Medicago truncatula: one gene and its partners. The protein of the gene in region 2 interacts with the protein of the main gene of each other region in a pairwise test. Links are inferred from orthologs where the notes say so. Each region holds a gene or a part of one and is shown on either strand. Other genes may lie near its edges.

Region 1 (7,415 bases), on a different chromosome or scaffold from region 2:
CACAATTTAGAAAGAAGTATTAGAATATGCAATATTGTCAAAGCAACTCAAATTTTGATCATCTAAAAAATCAGCAGTCGAAGAAGAGAGAAGCAGACCTTGTGCCATGGGTGTGCTTTTATTTGCGGAAACCTGAAGTCATTGTAATTGGGATTCATGCAGCGTACTTCCTCCCGGGTGGGTGTTCCAAGCACCTTTATAATATGTACGAGCTGGTCCACTGCATTTTCACCAGGGAATAACGGCTACAAAAGATAGCATTGTATCAGATGACAGGTAGGTCATAGGTGGAAGATACTAGTAGAAATACATCATTTTGCACTAGATGATGATGGTGATGACTGTGAGTATGAAAACAAAATAATGGCACAAACCTGGCCCAAAAGCAGTTCAGCAAGGACACAGCCAGCTGACCAAATATCAATTGAAGTAGTATACTCTGTGGCACCAAATATAAGTTCTGGAGCTCGATAGAAACGAGAACATATGTATGATATATTAGCTTCGCCCTTGACCTGAACAAAGAAAAAAAAATCTAAAATCAGTACCATATGAAAGTACTATGAATTCTTTGAAATAAAATAAATAAATAAGAGTGTAGGGAGACTCCAAAGCTTGCTGTTGAGCAGCGAAAGACATCATGCAAAGAAACTGACATCAACACAGTGTAATAATTACAAACATCTCATCTACAAGTGTCAAAACTTTATGAAAATTGATTGATTATCGGTTGACATTCTAAGTTACTGAATACTCAAAATGAAAAGAAAAAAAACAATTAATAATAATAATAATGTTACTGAATACTCAATTAAAAGGAAAAAAAATACAGGTGCACACCAAAGAAAGAAAACTAGGCATATTAAAATATGATGAGCAGGTCAACATACCAGCATTTTTGCACTTCCAAAATCACATAGCTTAACTTGATGTGAGAGAGGATCAACCTGGAGAACAAACATAATGAAATCAGGGCCAGAAGTAACTACTACGTTTACGAAAGAGTTCTAACTTTAAATGTATATCCAGCAACAGCATATTAACATACCAATATATTTTGAGGTTTCAAATCCCTGTGGCAAACTCCGGGAACAGTGTGGATATAAGCCAACCCCCTGAAGATCTGCATGCCCACCACAAGTTTATATCAGCCAATGACTGAATGAATTAGAGAAGTTTTTTATTCGCCAGAAAGTTAAAGGCATACCTGGTACATATAAAGTTTTACATAGATGATCGGTATTCTCTGATTAGCATTGTTGTAGTGCTTTAAGACCCGATACATGGATTCTGGAACATATTCCATCACCAAATTCAGAAAAAGTTCATCCGTACTTGTAGTTGAAAAGAAACAATGCTTCAAAGTGACCACATTTGGATGGTCCATCACACGCATCAATTGTAGTTCACGGTTCTTATATCTTCGGTCTTGCAAAACCTTCTTAATGGCTACTGCCTCTCCAGTTTCCAAGCATTTTGCCTAAGAAGAGAAAAATCAGCATGCGGCAAAAAAAAATGGTGGAGACAACAACAATTAGGAATCTAGCTTTAGCATACCTGGAAAACAATTCCAAATGATCCCGTTCCTACGACACGCTCTGCCATGTAACTAATAGTCTACAAGAACCATTGAACAAGATGTCAAACTTGGAATCCAGGAAAAATTATCAAATGGAACTGTTAACAACTCGGCAAATCACTCAATCTCAAAATTGAAATATTATCAGCAAAACAGGATTTACAGAATATGATACCTGTTTTGGCTCTCCATTTTTGCCTCCAATTGTTGTAGATATAATGTGACCAGTGAGGGAATCGTTCCCATTGATAACAGAAGTAGACATCTCCTGTTGAAATTGATGGAACATAAGAATTTGGAATTGCTCACAAAATACTTATAGATGGTTTGATTTCAAAGTGAAGTTAAAAATAGAAACAATATGATTAACTAATTGATGAACACATCAAAAATAGCAAGTAAAGACTACCATGAAGAACAAGATACACAATTAATTAAACCATCACATATCAACAGCATACTCAAAAACACAAAAGGTAAGTTTCTAAAAGATATAACATGAAGAAACAAATCTGGTACGCAACATATGATGATACCGCAAAAAGACGACCATGAAGGAAATAAGATGCTAAAAACTAAAGACCAAGCGACCAAGAACTATAGCAGCACTCAATCCAGAAAACAAACTTAATTTTTGACAAACTTTTATTGAAAAAATTGAAGTAAGAAACAAAAAAGCAACACAACAAAATATTTTGCTAAAATATCTTAAAATTTCAAAACAATACAACAGATAGAAACAGATAACAACAAATTGAACCAAAACATGTTCATCAGAATCGCAAATCAAACTGATAAACTACACATATAGCAAAACTAGCAACCAATCACAGATTCATGACAAACAAACAAAACAAAACCTTGAGAGTCCAACATCAACATAAGAACATGATCTGATTATAACATAACTGTCGGCAACAAACAAATCTTAAAAATTAAAAAAATTAAAAAAAAATCCAGTTCAATAAAGAAAAAAAATTAAAACTTCATAGAAACCCATAGATCAACTTCAAAATAAGCAAAATGGGTTTTCTCTATTAACCTCAAAGACCAAAAAAAATTTAGCAACAAATCAAATTTCCCCCAAAATAACAAACCCTAACAATCCCTTAATCAACTAACAAAAAAAAATTAAACAAAAATCACACAACCCAGATGAATTTACAGCTTCATAATCCAACAAAAACAATAAAAATCACAACTTTTTTCAATTTTAGCATTCATGGATCACAGTTTTTTCACAAACCAATCAAAAAAGCTAAAAAAAAAAAGGGGATTTTTATGCTACAAAAAAGTACCTTATCCTCAGACATGGTTGAAGGAGGAGGAAGAGAAGAAAGAAGAGAAGAATGAATCTAAGAAAGAGAGAAGAAGAGAATGGAAGAGAAAGTAAGAAGAAGAGAATGGAGGACCCAGCAAGGGAAAGACAAGTCCATGTGATTCCAGCTCTTCTTTTTCTTCTCTCTCTCCCCTTTCTTTTCTGTCTACCTTTTCTTTTTCTTTATTGTTATTATTTTTTCTTAATTTTCTTTTTTGGACTTTTGCTATTTTCATTGACCAGCTTTGTTGATTATCAACAATTTGCTGTTAATACAATCATTAGACGTGCTTAATTTAATCTGTCGGTCAAAAAAATATGTCTTTTTGTTTAATTTAATACTACTATACTAGTACTTGATTGAAAGTTGAGTTCATATGAATATGTCATCTCTCAATAGATAATAACAACGAAAATGTTAAGTTAATTGTGGTGATCGAAGTTTGAACTTTAATTTTTTTATTTTTATGAGTGAGTTTTTAATAACTATTGTTATTTTGTTTATCTAAAAAAAATTATAATCATACTTGATCGAGTTTTAATCGGTAATACTATAATTATAGGTTGTATATAAATTTTGTTGAATTTTTTAATAAAGCTAGCGTATGTTTGGTTTTGAGATTACATATAAATTGATTTTGAATTAGCGTGTGTTTGATTACGCGGTGGCAAAATTTGATTTTGATTGAATTAATTTTGCAGAATTGATTTTGGTTAAAAGTGAGTTTAACATAAAGTGGTTTGTGTTTGAATACCTTCAATGCAAAATTGATTTGTATGTAAGATGATGTTTGGATATTTTGTGTCAAAATTGCTTTTGAGCGTGGAAATGACCAAAATAGGTTTTAACATATAGATCAATTTTCTCATTCATTTATTTTGTTAATTTTTTTTTTCTCTCCTTCATTTATTTTGGTAAATTTTTTCTCAATCATTTAATTAGTTTTTCTTTTATTTTGGTTAATATAGTGGATTGATACATTTTTCTTGTTACATCTTCTTTAATTATTTTTTTATGTTAATTGATTAATAAAATACTGTCAAATACGTTGATTGGGTAGTAAGTAAAACATAAATATGTTGATTAAGTAAAAGGTAATAATATAAAGAAAGGAAAAAAAAATTAAAGGCAACCGACTCAACATAATGATGGGACTTCAGAGCCATTTAGTTTTAGAGAAGTGTTATTTGAATAACTATTTGGTTGACAACTTATGTGACAACAATAATTTACAAAGAAAAAGTAGGTATTTGCACGAAAATCAAAGCAATAGAGAGATAAAGTAACACATAATGTGAGTATGAGAGAAAAAGTTGTCACAAAAGTTATAAAAAAAAATGTTCAAATATCATTTCTCTTAGTTTTATCACTACTAACCTCTAGACAATGACACTGTAGCACATAACAGAAAGAAATAAGCGCGGGATGAAAAGGATAGAGCTGTAAAATATCTTGTGATTTCCATAAAATTGATTATATAGTCAGACGCAAAAGCTACACATGGTAGCTTCAACTGGAATCGATTTTGAAAGGAAGAATCATGTTTCCAACTGCTTGCCAAACATCCTTCAAGTGTCATGAAATCCCGTTTGTAGTGAAAAACGCACGTTTGAGGCATCTTACCGCAGAACCAAACAGGGGCTTTGTGTTGGAGATTAGTGGTTGTCGGATGTAGTTACACATGGAGGTTAGATTTGTGCATAATAACTTCGTGCTTTTCAAAAGATAAATAATATTTGTACAATTATATTTTGACAACTTTTGTGACAACTTTCTCTTTCATACTCATGTTATGTTTTTATTTTTCCTCTCTATTGTTTTGGCTTTTATGTCGATACTTTTTTTTTTATAAATTTATGGTTGTCTCAAAAGTTGTCATATAAATAGTTTTTTAAATAACACAACTCTTTCCGAAACGAGGCTTAGAACTAGTATAAATACATGCGTATTGTTAAATTTTCTATAACCATCAATAATAGCAATCACGACAACCAATTTAATAATACAAAATTTATTTGTTCTATTTGTTAAAAAAATGCTATAAGGGTATATTTGGTTCAATGAAGAGGAGGGAATGGATTTTAATGGAGTGAAAGAAAATGGAGGGGAGATATTTTAATTAAATATATGTTTGGTTCAAAAGAGAGAAGAGGATAAATTTTAATTAAAAATGTGTTTGGTTCCCAACAACGAAGTGATACTCAACCATTCAAACTCATAACTAAACGGCACCATAAAATCTCATTTCATATCTAAGTCTAACTAGTAACTACATGTAAACTTTTTAGCTATGATTTTAACCACACAACTCTTAGCATCTTATTGTTGAAATGGTATAGTCAACAACAGTTGATCATGACCATATATTTGCAAGTGCAACTTTGGTAACATAGCTTCCTTCTCCTTTCTATGTTAAAATTGTTGTTAGTATTTGTTATAGAACATTGTTCATAATCTAATGCATCATTTTCTCTTTAAAAAATATAAGTTAGGAATAGAAATAATATAGAGAAAAATATTCCCAGAAGAAGCAAAGAAGAATGCATTAAATGTAAATAAAAGAAATAGTACAAACTCGTTAGTGATAATCATATGTAAGGGACATTTCATACAACTCATAATAGTAAATGTCAAAACTTACCCATTTCTCCGTTAATATAATAGTATAAAGAAGAGGGATAAAAATTGTGTACACAATTTTTTTTTTTTTTTTGAGAGAATGTGTACCAATATATGGTTGCCTTTGTGAAATAGTTACACAATTGGAACATAATTATAGATTAGATTCATGTAAAATTACATAGTTAAAATTATACAGTTGTGAAATAGTTACTACTCTATTTTTTTAACAAATCTTTGTACTACTTGAAAAGTTACTTAGATTGAATTTTCTTTTTAAATTTACCATAATCAAATTTACATAGAAAGTTTGGGTACGTTTATTTTTTGTTTTGTATTTCAATTAATTAACCACCTTCAATACTAGACAAGGGAAATAATATTGCATGCAAACTCTGTTTATAACAGCAAAAATATTACATCGGATGAGTATATAATTGCTAAAATACTATCAATAAAAATATGATGCATCCATGTAATTCAGATGCCACACATTAATTATGTGATCATATGGTCTTTTTTTGTTACTTTTGATCATTTGGTCGTTTAATCTTAAATCAACAATAAAGATTATTTAAAGATGATTTTACATGAGTGTAATATGAACCGGCCAATCTAAGATTTATGATCAAGATCAATCAATGCACACAACTTTGTGCTTCATTACTGCATGTTTTCCTTAATAAATTGTTCAAGAAATAAAATGTGATAAAAAGATATAAGTTATCCTCCGATAAACTTTTTTGAAAGAAAGAATTTTATAAGTGGTAATAAAAATGATCAAACATAAATTCACATATAGCTTTCATTAAAGAGTGGATTGAGTTTAGTTTTTTAGACCAAATTTTCTTCTCTCAAATCTATCACCACTTCAGAAGAATTATAATATGTTAAGAAATGATGTGTCATCATGATAGACATTGTATTAATAGAATTTTTTTTGCTATTGATTTTTCATAGCATGTTTTTGCAAGTCTTTCAAAAATAAAACAATAAAGTATATAATATCACGGGGGCCAAAAGTAGAAAATGTTAGGTTATTGATCAATTATAGGAATTTTCTAAGCTTTTTATACCAGGGTGCTAAAAAGTTTCTAAGATAGGACAACTAATAGATCAAATGTTACTTTGTATATGTTTGGGCCAAGACGAATGGCAATCCAACATTTAAAAACACGTTTGATATAAACTACTTCCTCCGTTCCATTTTATATGTCATTCTAACAAATACACATGGATTAAGAAATGCAATTAAAGTGTCAATATTATTTTTTATCATTCCAATATTATTTTTTATAAAGTGTCAATATTATGTTGGGGTGGTCGTAGACCGCCAGCGGCCTTTGGTATAATTCCAAGATGGCGGTGGTTTGGTGGTTGATATGGGTTGCGCAACACCCTTTCTCGGTGGTGATGGCCTTGGATTCGTGGGTTGGTGTCCGGATTTGTGTTGTAGTCATTCCGTCGTAGCGGTTCTCGTCGGTGGTTTTATTCCTCTTCTGCGTGATCCATATGATGGTGGTGTAGCAACTCATGGTGGTGGGGTTGATGGTGGTTTGTTATGGCAGATTTGGGTGGTTTTCGTATATGTTGGTATATGTTGGCGTTGATTTTCGTAGTGGCTCTTTTGTGTTTGTTTCGTTTTGTCCCAGATCCCTGTGCAGGAAGTGATGGTGGTGTGAGGTGGTGACAGTGGTGAGGTAAGTCTCGGTTTTGGAGGTAATAGGAGGTGTTGGTGGTGGTTTTAGTACAATAGTTGCGGTTGTTTTCTTCCTTGCGTGTGCTGAGTTTGCGGCTCTTAGAAAAATACAAATTGTCTGGTGTTTTTGTGTGGTGGTTGTTTCCTTCCAATCCAGATCTATGTGGAGGAGGTGATGGGTGTGTGAGGTGGTGATGTA
Region 2 (7,366 bases):
TACCTAAAATGACCTTGGCATTTAATTTGTTAATGTAATTTATTTAATATTGATCACTGGCAGCAACAGGTCACTCATATTGTATTGACCTACAAATACAAGTTACCACACCAGCATAAAAAAAATAAAATTGTCAAGACTAGTCTCTTACCAAACAAGACCCATGTTGCTTGCGTACCTTAAACGGCACCGTCAAAGATTACATGGTTCAAGCAGATTCAAAAAAGTTCGTATAATAACTCGGGCGCCATTTACGGTAGGAGAGGTGAATAGGTCTCCTATCGTAGGAGACCGTATAAAAAGACAATTTTTTTTTTGTTGTTAAAATAACATGTGTTTAAGTTAAATTCTATTTAAGTTATTCATTTAACTGCAAGGACAGTGTTGGTATTTCATCTTAAATAAAAAATTATTTTTCCATCTAGATCTGGAAATTGTTAAATTATTTTTTTTGTTTAAGTTAAATTATTTTTGCTTCAACTTCTTTCGTGTTTGTGAGAGGAAATTGTGGCAAGTTAGAGAAGTTTTGTTATTTTTATCATATCCATTCTACCCTTGAGTTTTCACTTGGAGGGAATAAACATGGAACGCATGAGCTTGCTATGAATTTTTCCAGTTTTTCCAACAATGCCAAAAACATCCTTTCTTAAATTTGAATCCAAAATCAATTGCATTTTTATAAATCAATATATATGTTAAAAAAATACAATCCTAGTGGGTCACTTATTGCAAATCTCAGCCATTCAAAAGCTTCAAAGTAAATTCAATGGTTGACATCCATTTTTCAAAAAAAAAAAAAAAAAAAACAGGTCTCCTACGGTAGGAGACCTATGAATGTCATGGACCGTAGCCTTTGCCAATAACTCGATCTAAGAAATTTAACTAGACGTGATAATCATAAATATTGTAAAAATGTTTGAGAAATTATGCGTAGATTGATGATGATGTGTCGATACTGTTTCCAAGGTGAACCCTGACTTGGATCTCTTTAAAACACGTTTCCTTAATATTTTGGTGCAAAACTTTAACGTGGCAATGATTTTCATTTATGTATTTATAGAGATTTAAAACTGGGTTGAGCCGTACTTTAAACTAACGGATCCTGCGGTAGAAACAAGGGGTGTTAAATGCTCGTGGTTTAGGCAAACTTGTTGTAAGCGATGCACACGTGGCAATATGGAAAGTTAACATCACGATGGGCAACATCCTTGCTTTGAATTTTCACCTTTTTTTTTAGTTTGAATTGCATTTGATGTATCCATTAAAAGTTGGGTTGATGATGCTTTATCCGTGTAATATATGTGATTTTCAGTTTTTTTTCTATATTTTTTTTTTTTAGTTATCCCTTTATAAAAAAAGTTTGTTTTGGAAAACCCCCTATGATATATATATATATATATATATCACTCAAAAATCTCTCACTAAAATTAAATTTGAGTTTGAGCATTACTATAAATATAACTCAGTTGAGAGTGATGTGATAGTATACCAAAATCGAAACCACAATTTCGAATTCTCATCTTACTGATCTTATAAAGTGAATTTTTACCTATTGAATTACTTGAGAAAAAACGATACAGATTGAAAGTGTGTATCTCAAGGTGAGTAATTGCTTAAATCGTAATCTTTGACTTTCCTCTTACTATCATAAATCTATCATTTACTCCCTCCATTTCAAAATAAGTACTCCATCCGTTCCTTGTATCACTTTTGGAGAAAAAATTTGTTCCTATTTAACTGTCACTTTCAAAGTTCAATGTAACATTAAATGTTGTTTTACCAATATTATTCTTAGTTATTTATTGTGGAGAGAGAAATATATGAAATGACATATTAAATGAATAAGGTCATTATAGTAAAAGTACAGCTTATTGCATCAAAAATAGTATCAATTGTTGATTGTCTTGGTTTGTGTAAAACGTCAAAATGTGACAATTAAAAAGGAATGAAAGTAGTATCATTTTAGCAAAAAAAAATTGTTTCAAAATGAATGTCACTTTCAGTTTTCAATGCAATAATAACTTTTTCTTTTCAATTGTACATTTCAATTAATATTATGTTACATTACTTCCAAAGTATTATTTTTTCTTTAATGAAAAACAAACCAATAGTTGATTAGGATAATTTGGTAAAATTGTTATGACATTTGACTACTTTATTTCATTCCTTAATATATGTGCAATTGACTAAAATGACACTCATTTTGAAACGGATTGAGTAATTTTTTTTTTGTTTTGGTGAAATTTTCCTTTTTATTGCCGTTATTAATCAGCACTTATATGAAATAACCATGGATAGTTTTGACCGTCTGTAGTAAATATTATTAGAGCATCCACAATGAAGACCCTCAAATTGAAGGTTTTAAGCGGATCCCACGTGTACACATCATTTTATTTTATTTTATAATAACAGTACCTAATAGGTACTCGGTCACTCCAATGAAGATCTTATAACAAAAAGTCTAAATAGGTCCCACCACTAACATATTATTTTACGCTTAAATGCTTTTTTGGTCCCTTAACTATTTAATTGGTATCGCTTTGGTCCCTTAACTAAAAAAAAGATTGTTTGAGGATTTTAAGTTTTTTTTTAGTATCGTTTTGGTCCCTTCTGTTAGGTTTCCGTTAGGGTTTTAAAAAAATGTTAACTCCTGGACACGTGTCACCTTGTCATTGGCTCTGAGTTTTTTTTTAATATATATATATATATATATATATATATATATATATATATATATATATTTTAAAAAAAAATCCCAAAGCCAATGGCAAAGTGACACGTGTCCCAAAGTTAACACGTGTCATCTTGTCATTGGTTCTGGGAATTTTTTACAAAAAAATAAAATATATATATTTAAAAAAATTAACTTTTTTTTTTATAAAAAATATATTTTTTTGTAAAAAAAAAAATCTCAGAGTCAATGACAAGGTGACACGTGTCCACACTTAACGTTTTTTATTAAAACCAACGGAAACCTAACAGAAGAGACCAAAACGAGACTAAAAAATACTTAAAATCATCAAACAATCTTTTTTTTAGTTAAGGGACCAAAGTGATACAAATTAAATAGTTAAGGGACCAAAAGAGCATTTAAGTCTTTATTTTAATAAAAAAGTGTGTGTGGACCACTTAAAGATGAGGTCTTAAGTTAGACCTCATCTCTTAGAAGACCCCTAAAAAAAAAATTTACAATAAAAGTACCTATTAGATATTAAATCTTAAATGGTGAAGACTTTACCATTGTAGATGCTCTTATTAATGAAAGGTCCAATTAGTCCCATATTAGGGGATCTTACTAATATTATATGAATTTTTCACATTCGACACGGAATGTTGGAAAATAATTTTGGTAGAGATAATAATATACCCCAATAGAGGGGCAATAATGTTGGTTGATGAGATAAGAAAAGCAATCTCTAAGACGGAAATGGGGGCGACAACTCCTGTTCAATCTTCACGTTTCAGTGCTGCCCTTACTGCCCAAGCGCATCAAACCTCTTATATTATCACAACTCATACAACCGGCTCCTTAAAATCAATTTTTATTTTATATCACTGCCCATACGTTACAAATTTATTATTTATTATTCATTCCAATTAATTAATTTAATCAATTGAATGCATAAATCTAGGAGAAAAATATATATATTTTTTTTTAAAATTAAACCATATTCATAAACACTTGGATTGGATGAAATAATGAAGGGTATTTTATAATTGTTTTAAGTTCAAATATATCATAAAATAAAATACAAGTGTTAATTTTTTTTATAAAGTGTTTAATTTTGTATCATAGTTTTATTCGATAAAAAAATGTCTTGTTAATCCGTACTTTAAGGACAATGGTTAAGAATTTAAAAGAGGAACTAATTTATGAATTTTATATAAAAAAGTTTTTATTTTTAATTTTTAATATAGTGAAAACACAAGTTTCAATAAATTTTTTTTTCCTTAGACTCTTAAAAAAAATTAATCTTTACAATTATGCGTAGAAATATTTGATAAAAAATGTAAAAAAGGTGAGGAAGTAACAAGGGAAAGTTAAGTAACGCGGATGGTGTTAAATGCACCCTTCTTACCCGTACCCCATTACACTGCCCGTCCACAGCACGACAACGCCATTTCCCAATAAAAACATGACAACTTTCCCGCGACCGTTAAGACAAACGCCGTTACTTTCTCCATCCAATCCTATCTTGACGTCTATTAACACCGTTTATTCTTACCCCCTTATTTCCAATGAGCCGCCTTTTATTTATGGCGTTGTTTGCGTTTCCCTAGCACCAAAACTTCCTCACTTCTGATACCCGGTTGGAAAAGCAGGTAAACCTGTTATCACCGGTTGTATCTCATTTAACCGCGGTTAAAATCATTGACCACTCTAGTTAAAGTCCTCTCTTCCGACACTCCTTCTGGTCCTCCTGCTACCATTTATCATCATCATCTTAGAGAGAGAGAGAGATAAAAATAACAAAACAAAATATTGAGAGAGAGAGAGAGATAGAAAACTTAGAGAGAGAAAGTGGGTAGTTGAACGAGTCATCGTCAATTGAAGGCTTGTTTCTTTGTTTTTGAAGATCAAGAAGAAGAACGTTGTTGTTGTTGTTGAGTTTTCATGAAGAGTGGATGTTTGGGATGAGAGATCTGGAAGAAGAAAGAAACATGGCATCATCAGAAGTATCTATGAAGGGAAATTCTGTCAACGGAAAAGGTGAAAACAACGTTGATGGTGTTGGAGATGCTCAAAATGGTTCTTCATCGTCATCAACAGGAAGAGGTAACAACGTTAACGTGGTTTTATCTGTAATTAAGGTTTTGTGTAACAAATTATGGAGTGATAATGTTTTTTTTTTCTTTTCATTTTTCCAGAAGCTGAAGCTGCACTTTACAGAGAACTATGGCATGCGTGTGCTGGTCCTTTGGTAACAGTTCCAAGAGAAGGAGAACTTGTGTTCTATTTTCCACAAGGACATATTGAACAGGTAACACAAACATTACCTATTTTCCGACAATTATCTTTCATGGTTTGGTTCTTGTTTTCTTTAGTTAAGTTAGCTACCGGTTTATCTGTGTGTCAACTCAGATTTGTCACACTTAACTCGTTTTGGTTCCTAATTTAGCAGCATCTGGGTTTTTTCTTTTTTATATTAGAATTAGAGTTATTATGATGATGATTATGGTGAAATTAACATAATTCCATACATTAGGTGGAAGCTTCAACAAATCAAGCATCGGAACAACACATGCCGGTTTACGATCTCCGACCTAAGATCCTTTGTCGGGTCATCAACGTTATGCTAAAGGTAAATTTTCCTCTTTTCCTTTTTTTTTTTTGAATAATTTAATAAATTCCTTTCTTTTTCTAACAGTAACACAGTTGTTTTGTTTGTGTAATTATAAAATATAATAAAATTATTTATCTTTTAATTATTGATTAATTTTTGTATATTTTTTTGTAGGCGGAGCCAGATACTGATGAGGTGTTTGCACAAGTGACTTTGGTACCAGAGCCCAATGTGAGTTTTTCCACTAATTTTCTTTTGGTTTCTTTGGTTTGGAGTAACAAACACAGCATGTTCTTATTTTTTTCTTTGTGTGTTGTTTTGGATTGTGGATCTGGATGATATTGTAGCAAGATGAAAATGCTGTTGAGAAAGAAGCTCCACCTGCTCCTCCGCCGAGATTTCATGTTCATTCGTTTTGTAAAACGTTGACCGCATCTGATACCAGTACTCATGGTGGTTTTTCTGTACTTAGACGACATGCTGATGAATGTCTTCCTCCTCTGGTTTGTTCTCTGTTCCCTCTTCTTCCTCCTTCTGTTTTTCCATATGGATGAAATTGATGGTGTTTGTTGTTTGGTGATAGGATATGTCAAAGCAACCACCTACACAGGAATTGGTGGCCAAGGATCTGCATGGGAATGAGTGGCGTTTTAGGCATATTTTTCGCGGTAATTACTAGTCCATCTTAAACTGTTGACCACTTGATTTATTTCTTATTAATTTTTGTTCATTTTTTTTTTTTTTTTTTTTTGTGTTTGATGTGTGAGGTGAATTGATTTCAGGTCAACCGCGTAGACATTTGCTGCAGAGTGGTTGGAGTGTTTTTGTCAGTTCTAAGAGGCTGGTTGCTGGGGATGCATTTATATTTCTGAGGTTTGCTTAGTTGTTATAACATCATTTTTGAATTAGTGTTTTTTTGTTGTTGTTGGTGATTTTGACTAATTTAGGATTTTTCCAGAGGTGAGAATGGGGAGCTTCGAGTTGGTGTCAGGCGTGCAATGAGACAGCAGGGTAATGTTCCATCCTCGGTTATCTCTAGCCATAGCATGCATCTTGGTGTTCTTGCAACTGCCTGGCATGCTGTTTTGACTGGGACCATGTTCACTGTTTATTACAAACCCCGGTATGCAATTTGTTCTTAAACCATGTCTGCTCTGTTCTAACTATTATCTGATTTGAGTGTTCTTTCTGATTTATTTCCCTAGGCATTGAGTTTACACCGTTCTTGCTCATGTTTCTTCTGCAGGACTAGTCCAGCGGAGTTTATTGTTCCGTATGATCAATACATGGAGTCTCTAAAAAATAATTATACAATAGGCATGCGGTTCAAAATGAGGTTTGAGGGTGAAGAGGCTCCTGAGCAAAGGTGTGAATGATCAAAACAATAATGTCTTTTTTCTCTGTTTAAGTTTTAATGTTACTACTGCTTGCTGGTTATGTCCATTTATTCTTTATCTAATGGTTTATTTTGATTTGGTTTTTGTATGTGTAGGTTTACGGGTACCATTGTTGGAATTGAAGATTCCGACTCCAAAAGATGGCCAACATCTAAATGGAGATGTCTCAAGGTTAGATGGGATGAAACATCTAACATACCTCGTCCTGAGAGAGTTTCCCCTTGGAAAATAGAGCCTGCTCTTGCTCCTCCAGCTCTAAATCCTCTTCCAATGCCCAGGCCTAAAAGGCCCCGTGCTAACGTGGTGCCGTCATCCCCAGATTCTTCTGTTCTTACCCGCGAAGGTATTGTGAGAACTTGATATTTCTAAGAATTCCTCCTTTGCGTTGTGGTTTTTGTATGAAGCCTGATTTGTTTTTGCTGATCAATTAACAGCATCGTCAAAAGTAAGCATGGACCCTTTGCCCACTAGTGGTTTCCAGAGGGTCTTGCAAGGTCAAGAATCATCGACCTTGAGAGGAAATTTGGCTGAAAGCAACGACTCTTACACTGCAGAGAAGTCTGTTGCGTGGACTCCTGCAACTGATGAAGAAAAGATGGATGCTGTTTCTACTTCAAGAAGGTATGGTTCAGAGAACTGGATGCCAATGTCAAGGCAGGAACCAACGTATTCGGACCTTCTGTC
Region 3 (6,634 bases), on a different chromosome or scaffold from region 2:
GTTCTCTTATCCAAAATTGTTTAGGTTCGTATCACTTCGGTCTCCATCTCTGCATATTAGGACATTAGTGTCTCATTGTATTTTCAAGGAATCACATGTGTATCGAATGTTGCTAATTAGGAACTTAAAAGCAATTAAATTCCGTTGAATTGTACTCTATCCGTTCCAAAATAACTTACTTTGATCATATTTTTAAACTAATATACAAATATAAATATTAGCATGTAAATTGTTTTATTTCAATGAATATTTTTTAAAATTTTTATTATAGATAATCAAATATATTAATGATTAAAATTGTGTATTGACATATATTCCGTGATTGATTGAGATATGTATTTTAAAACGGAAATGATAAACGAACACAAACCTTTAAACACAATTTCGACATCACCGTATACTTGTACGGTATTTTTCATTTTTTTAATTTCTTTTATTTTTCTTTCCCTCTTCTCCTCTACTGCAACCCTCACTCACTCTCTCTCCTCTTCAACCTCCTTCGATCTCTCTCCACACAAACATGCTCAGCCTCCGCTCCCTCTTCGATAAGCTTCCGACCGCCGCAACATCCACCATTTCTCTCCGGCAGCGTGTGACGGCAGGCGTAACATCCAGATCTAGACATCATTTGAAGGTCCGCGATGGTGTTGACGATGACGGGAGGCGATGATTGATGATGGTGATTGTGAGGAAGAGGTGTGGTGCTGACAGTGGGAGGTTGGTGGTGGTGGGGAGGCCAACGGTGGGAGATCTGGAGGACAGTGAGAGTTCAGAGAGATGGAGAGAGAAAGAGAATGGACGGGGGTCACTGCGTCGGAGGATGGTGACGGTGGTGGTGGGAGGACGGAGGTGTTGCGAGGACAGTGGTTATGGACTTGTGGTTCAGTTCTGAGAGAAACTAAACAGAAGAGAGAATGAATGATGTGGCACGAGGTAGAGAAACAAAAGAGGGTGTGTGGTGGTTTTACAAAGCTGCCCTTAACTTAAGGTTGAAATGACAAAACTGGATGTTGGTATTGTGTTTAAAATTTTGTGTCTAGTTATCATTCCTCGTTTTAAAATGGAAAGGATAGTGGTTTGCCAAATTATTTCATAAAACCGTGTCTAACTTTTTTAGCTATACGTGCATTGTGGTGAAGTTTAAAGGCAATTCCAGCTTGTTTTGCTAAAAGTTTAAGGTGATTTAAAATATATTTAATGATGTCGTACGTTTTGTTTTTAACAGTAATCAAGGTCAACATTATCCAACTTATCCTCTAAACTAGGCTCTGCCCACATTGAGTTGAAATAGTGACCCTTGAAGCCATGCACACAATGTGAACCAGTTAAGCAAAAACATGCCGTTGAAAATAAATAATTATAAAGTAAATTACACTCTTCTCCCTTCAAAGATACTTAAATTACACTTCCATCTCCTCTTATGTTAAAATATACACTCTGCTCCCTTGAAAAAAAATTATACTTCCCTATCATATAAGATGCTTGAATTACAATCACCTCCCTTAATAAATAAATATGCATTACACTTTAATCTATTTTAACATAAATAAATATTTTTATGATATATATAAATTTTGAACCACCATTTAAGGAAAATAAATTCATCACTTTATAATTTAAATGTCAATGATAATTAAATTTGAATATTTTCTTATTAATTTTATAATTTAGAATATAAAATTAACTTTTAAATAACCATACTTTATTGTCTTTAGTAATTTTTCACATATTTTAATTTTATTTTGGGTTGTTTCGTATTTTATAATAAGGTTTAAAATTATATGTTAATGCAACTGTGAATAAAAATATAGGGAAAAATATGTATTCAAATTTTGATTATATTAAAATAGACCCGCAATACCATTTTTTTTAATTATGTTAGATTATCAATTTTTTTGCTAGATTATTAGAAATAAAAAAAAATTATTGAGGAAGTAAAGTTTAGGTCTTAACATAAAAGGGGAGGGGAATGTAATTCAAGCTTCTCTTAGGGGAGGGAAGTGAAATATTTTCTAATGTGTTTTGAATAAAAGGGGGGGGGGGAGTGTATATTTCAACTTAAGAGGGGAGGGGAGTGTAATTCATGCATCTTTGAGGGAAGGAGAGTGTAATTTACTCATAATTATACCCTAAATTGTTAGTTACAATTATTAATTGTTTACTGTTTCACAAAGAAAATAAGAGTTTCTAGTTAAGAGTTTAGGGGAACCCTTAAATTATAGTGACATACATGTCTCTTTTAGTTGAATAACCACATGTCTCTTATTTTTTATGAAGAAAAAAAAAAAGTGAACCGAGCATCATAACAAATGTATTTTAATATTTACCTTACCCATCAATGAGATTCTAACCTGAGTACGGAACTTGAACTCATACCTTTATAAACAGAAACAAATGGATGAAGGTGTATGTAATTGGGAACAGTTCCAACTTGTTTATTCTGCTAGCCGTGATTATTAAATGATTGTTTTTTCCTATAACTGTGATCGGAGGGTGTATATAATTAGTAGATATTAATATATCTTCAATATTTTGGATATAAAATGGTAAAGTTTTTTAGCTTCGACACCCCTATATGTCACCCAGTCACCACTAATCGAGATATTTGAATATGTTGCTCCTTGTAAAAGAATAAGTCAACTTCTTAACAACAAATCTAACATGCGTTTATAATTCTAGAGGGTTTTGTATCAACTTATTCATGGTTTCAATTTCTTTCTTTGATCATTTATTTTAAATTTTTTTGGTACAGGGTTTGTATCAATTTACTATTTCTTCGAGTGAATTTGTGTTTTGCACGTTCCACTTCATATACTACTTGAATTCATTGCTTGTAATTTTATTAGATTTTTAGTGATCGAGCAAATTAAACGCATTACTTTGGGTCTCTAAATGTTGCAAACCTTTCGGCGACTGCAGCGCGGTCGTCTCCGTTGCTCATGCACACTGCAATTTTCAAGATTGTTTTAAGCTTTCTTTAGTCTAATCTCGTGTGCAAAGCTTATAGGCTTGCTTTTTCTTGACGCATTCAATTAAAATTGTGTGGCCATCCCAATGAAAATTGTAGTATTATTGTAATTCATCTCGACAACATCACCCACCATAAATCTAAATGCAAGTTTTTTTTTTTTTTTTTTTGACACAACAAATTTGAAGGTTTACTATTAAAGATGTAAATAGGTCAAACCGACCGACCGATCGAGTGGGATAAAAACCTAGTCATTCTTAAAAAAGATCTTTTAATTATCGAAAACCTAGTCTTTGGAGACATGTTATTACTACTATGTTTTCCATTCCAAGTTATGGTGATATTGATCGTCATGAATATGCCTGGAAGTTTACCAATCATGAAGAGTATAATGTGAAATCGTCCTACCATATTATTGTGGAGGACCGAGTGGATAAATAGTATTCTTCGTGTTAATGGAAATTGAGTGAAAATTTGAAAGTTGAAAGGCTAAAATATGGTTTTGAATGCCTCATTTTGGTTTTCGTCTATGTAATTCTTTTTTTTTTGTTCTTGGTCCCTGCAAATATGTCTCGTTTTGGTTTTCGTCTCTGACCTCACTTTTGTGATGATTTACACACGTGACATATGATAACCGAACCCATTTATTAGAAAAATAGTCCCTGCAAAATCTTTTGATTTTTAAAAAGGTTCTTGCAAAATATTTTGCAGGGACCAAAAACAACAATTTTTTTTACAGGGACTAAAACCAAAACGGGACATATTTGCAGGGACCAAAACCATATTTTAGCCAGCTTAAAAATTCCTCAAAAAGTAAAGGTGTTCCTTTAGCGTGTAGTTCTGAGTTGTGTCTTTCTAGACATTGTCATCAAGTGTGTTCTAAATTGTTTTGATCACTACATTCATTCTAATGTTAATTATGAAAATGAACGGGATACATTTTTTGGATGTAACAAAGTCCAATAGGTATGAGCCGCGAGTGGATTATGGTCAACCATACACACCCTTAACCGTTTTAAGAGATAAGAACTACTCTAGTTTGAAAAGTAAATGAGATATTTATGAGAAATGATATTTGTATAATTAATTTGTGATAATTTTTTGACAACTTTCTCTCTAATACTTACGTTATTCTCTTTCCATTGTTTTTGATCAATAAAAAGAGAAAAAAAAAATTATCACAAAAGTTGTTCAAATATTACTACTTATATTTTATAAGGGAAAAATTAGTAGTAATAGTTATAGGATTTGAGTATACTATTAAATATGATCTTGAAAAAGTAAAACTAAGCCACGAGAGTGGGGTGGATTCTAGACATCTATCTGACCACTCCCGACATTTGTGCTTACTACATGTACATTTTCATTTCTCAACATCAATCAAATATATATATGTATCATCAAATATAGTGCCCCAGGAACACCACAAACAAACCCTTTTCTGTTTTGATCCATTTCTACCTACAATTAGATTCAAAATTAACTAGTTACATCCAATTACCATTTGCACTAGGACTCTTGAGTGCACAACTGCACATGCACATATATTTCCTCTTCTTTGGTAAATTTGCACAACTATACTCATGATGAACAGTTTTGACCCCCAAAGATGGCAACAAGATCATAGAAGACAGAAAAATATCATAGGTGCATCATCTTCAACTAGTTCTTCATCTTTGGCTAATTTCTATGCCAGTAATAATAAAAAAACCAAGTACAACAAACTTCAAACACTCTCACATGGGCTTGAGCTGGATGATGATCTTGTCTCTAGTAGTGTAGTTCCTGCTGTGACAGTTGTGTTGGAGGGCCGTTCGATCTGCCAACGCATCAGCCTTCACAACCACGGTAGCTACCAAAGTCTGGCCAAGGCTCTCCGCCAGATGTTTGTCGATTGCACGGATGACTGCGACGCCGGTGATCATCATCTTGATCTTTCTAATGCCATTCCTGGTCATGTTATTGCCTATGAAGACATGGAGAATGATCTTCTTCTTGCTGGTGATCTTACCTGGAAGTAAGCATCGATCTTGTTCATCTCTCAATTATATATATAAATTTCTCTCTTCCTTAATTAATTATTATGAGCTATTTAATTTGCTTGTTTATAAATGCTTGAGAAAAATATAGCTTCTAAATGAAAAACTATATAATCAGTTGTCAATCATGCCATATAATTCCTGTAAAAAAAATAAAAAAATCATGCCATATAAATAGTTGAAAATTTTACGTTACTATAATACTTCAGATTGTATTCTTGTCAAAAAAAATTAAAATAATACTTCATATTGTGGTGGCTGATGGTTCCATCCAAACCACTTTAATTTTTGTGTTAACCCTCCTGTTCTTATCAGAAAGAGGTCTGGAGTTTGGTTGTTCCATCCAAGAATTAAGTTCAGATTCTCCTGAAGATATGTCATTTGGTAAAACTCATTAACCATTTGATCATAATCACTTGATTAACTTATATTCTATTATTTGTTATTAGAAGAATAAAAATTTGAATTACCAACATAAATTAGAATTGAAAACATATATAAAGAGTCTTTTTCAAATTTTGTGTCGCTGACACTTAACAATTAACATTACATTTGAGATGGATTTTTTTTTTTCGTTTTTAATTTTTATTTTGTAAATTCAATTTTTTAATAGAGCTAATTGGCTTATAATTTGTATTTATTTATTATTATAAGCATGCATTGATTATTATTATTCTGATAGTTATGTTATGTGTGTTTGCATTCAGAGATTTTGTACGTGTGGCAAAGAGAATTCGGATACTTCCAGCGAAGGGGAACTCAAGGAAAGGTACAAGAAGTACAGGAGAGGCATAAGCTTATCTACCACATCAAAAACATGAAAGATGGTTAATCGTTTTGGGATTGTTAATTTAATTTGTACTTTCAGGAAAAGTATGAAGTAAATTAAAATAATTTGGCTATATAAAGATGGTCAGTAATAAGATCGGTGTACTAATATAACGCCAGCAAGAAATGCTGGTTGATTATGAGTAAGTTAATTAATCCAATTGAAATTACATGTAAGTAAAGTTGTGCTTTAATTTGTATGAATAAAAGGGATATTGATTCTGAAAAATGATATTGTATAACACACATCATTTTTACTAACAATCAGCAAAAGTATTTTGTTTTTTCTGAAAAAGGACACTTTTATGTATGTGTGTGTGTATATATAGAATAAAACTAATAGATACATTGATAAGCAAGAGAGTGGGAGAGATATGATAAGTGATACATTGAATCTAGAGGAGAGATTGGGAGTTAACGAAGTGTCTGAATGGTTTAGGAGAAGTTAAATATCTATAGAAAGAAGGTATCTAAAAGTTTCACCAAAAATAGAAGATATCTACAAATATTATGCAAAGGCTAGTTTTAATTTATATATGGAATCGTTATTTTTTTATTTTTTTGTCACGATATGCAATCGTTATTTATTTATTTAATTTTTTTTAATAGATTTTAGAAGAAGAAAAAAATCTAGGTATTGTTAGATTTTTATCTAAAAAAAAAATATAGTGTGTGCTTGTTAGAAGCTTTTTTTTGTTAGGAGCTTAATCATGTGTAAACTTTTTGTAGAAGGTGTATCTGCAAAAGTTGAAAGATATATAGCTTTTAATTTAAAGGGAAACTTGATCGGCTGAGATCT

The links.
Region 1: the proteins of auxin response factor 2B (region 2) and shaggy-related protein kinase eta interact in binary tests that used the Arabidopsis thaliana proteins (3 or more experiments, as listed by UniProt). The link is inferred for Medicago truncatula from reciprocal best matches to the Arabidopsis thaliana genes ARF2 and BIN2.
Region 3: the proteins of auxin response factor 2B (region 2) and auxin-responsive protein IAA33 interact in binary tests that used the Arabidopsis thaliana proteins (3 or more experiments, as listed by UniProt). The link is inferred for Medicago truncatula from reciprocal best matches to the Arabidopsis thaliana genes ARF2 and IAA33.

Annotation. Positions count from the first base shown.
Region 1 is NC_053043.1:5,064,080-5,071,494, reverse strand, and holds the start of shaggy-related protein kinase eta, read right to left. Parts: upstream 3,071-7,415; 5' UTR 2,893-3,070; coding exon 2,878-2,892; intron 1,848-2,877; coding exon 1,755-1,847; intron 1,618-1,754; coding exon 1,558-1,617; intron 1,481-1,557; coding exon 1,208-1,480; intron 1,124-1,207; coding exon 1,049-1,123; intron 948-1,048; coding exon 891-947; intron 516-890; coding exon 375-515; intron 246-374; coding exon 99-245; intron 1-98. UniProt on the Arabidopsis thaliana protein: Negative regulator in brassinosteroid signal transduction pathway important for plant growth. May be also involved in auxin signaling pathway. Phosphorylates and increases the degradation of BZR1 and BZR2/BES1 by the proteasome.
Region 2 is NC_053049.1:44,357,087-44,364,452, forward strand, and holds the start of auxin response factor 2B, read left to right. Parts: upstream 1-4,313; 5' UTR 4,314-4,626; coding exon 4,627-4,777; intron 4,778-4,869; coding exon 4,870-4,982; intron 4,983-5,207; coding exon 5,208-5,303; intron 5,304-5,459; coding exon 5,460-5,516; intron 5,517-5,632; coding exon 5,633-5,788; intron 5,789-5,868; coding exon 5,869-5,953; intron 5,954-6,067; coding exon 6,068-6,158; intron 6,159-6,243; coding exon 6,244-6,408; intron 6,409-6,531; coding exon 6,532-6,651; intron 6,652-6,777; coding exon 6,778-7,025; intron 7,026-7,116; coding exon 7,117-7,366. UniProt on the Arabidopsis thaliana protein: Auxin response factors (ARFs) are transcriptional factors that bind specifically to the DNA sequence 5'-TGTCTC-3' found in the auxin-responsive promoter elements (AuxREs). Could act as transcriptional activator or repressor.
Region 3 is NC_053045.1:61,448,291-61,454,924, forward strand, and holds auxin-responsive protein IAA33, read left to right. Parts: upstream 1-4,285; 5' UTR 4,286-4,551; coding exon 4,552-4,985; intron 4,986-5,714; coding exon 5,715-5,802; 3' UTR 5,803-6,064; downstream 6,065-6,634. UniProt on the Arabidopsis thaliana protein: Aux/IAA proteins are short-lived transcriptional factors that function as repressors of early auxin response genes at low auxin concentrations.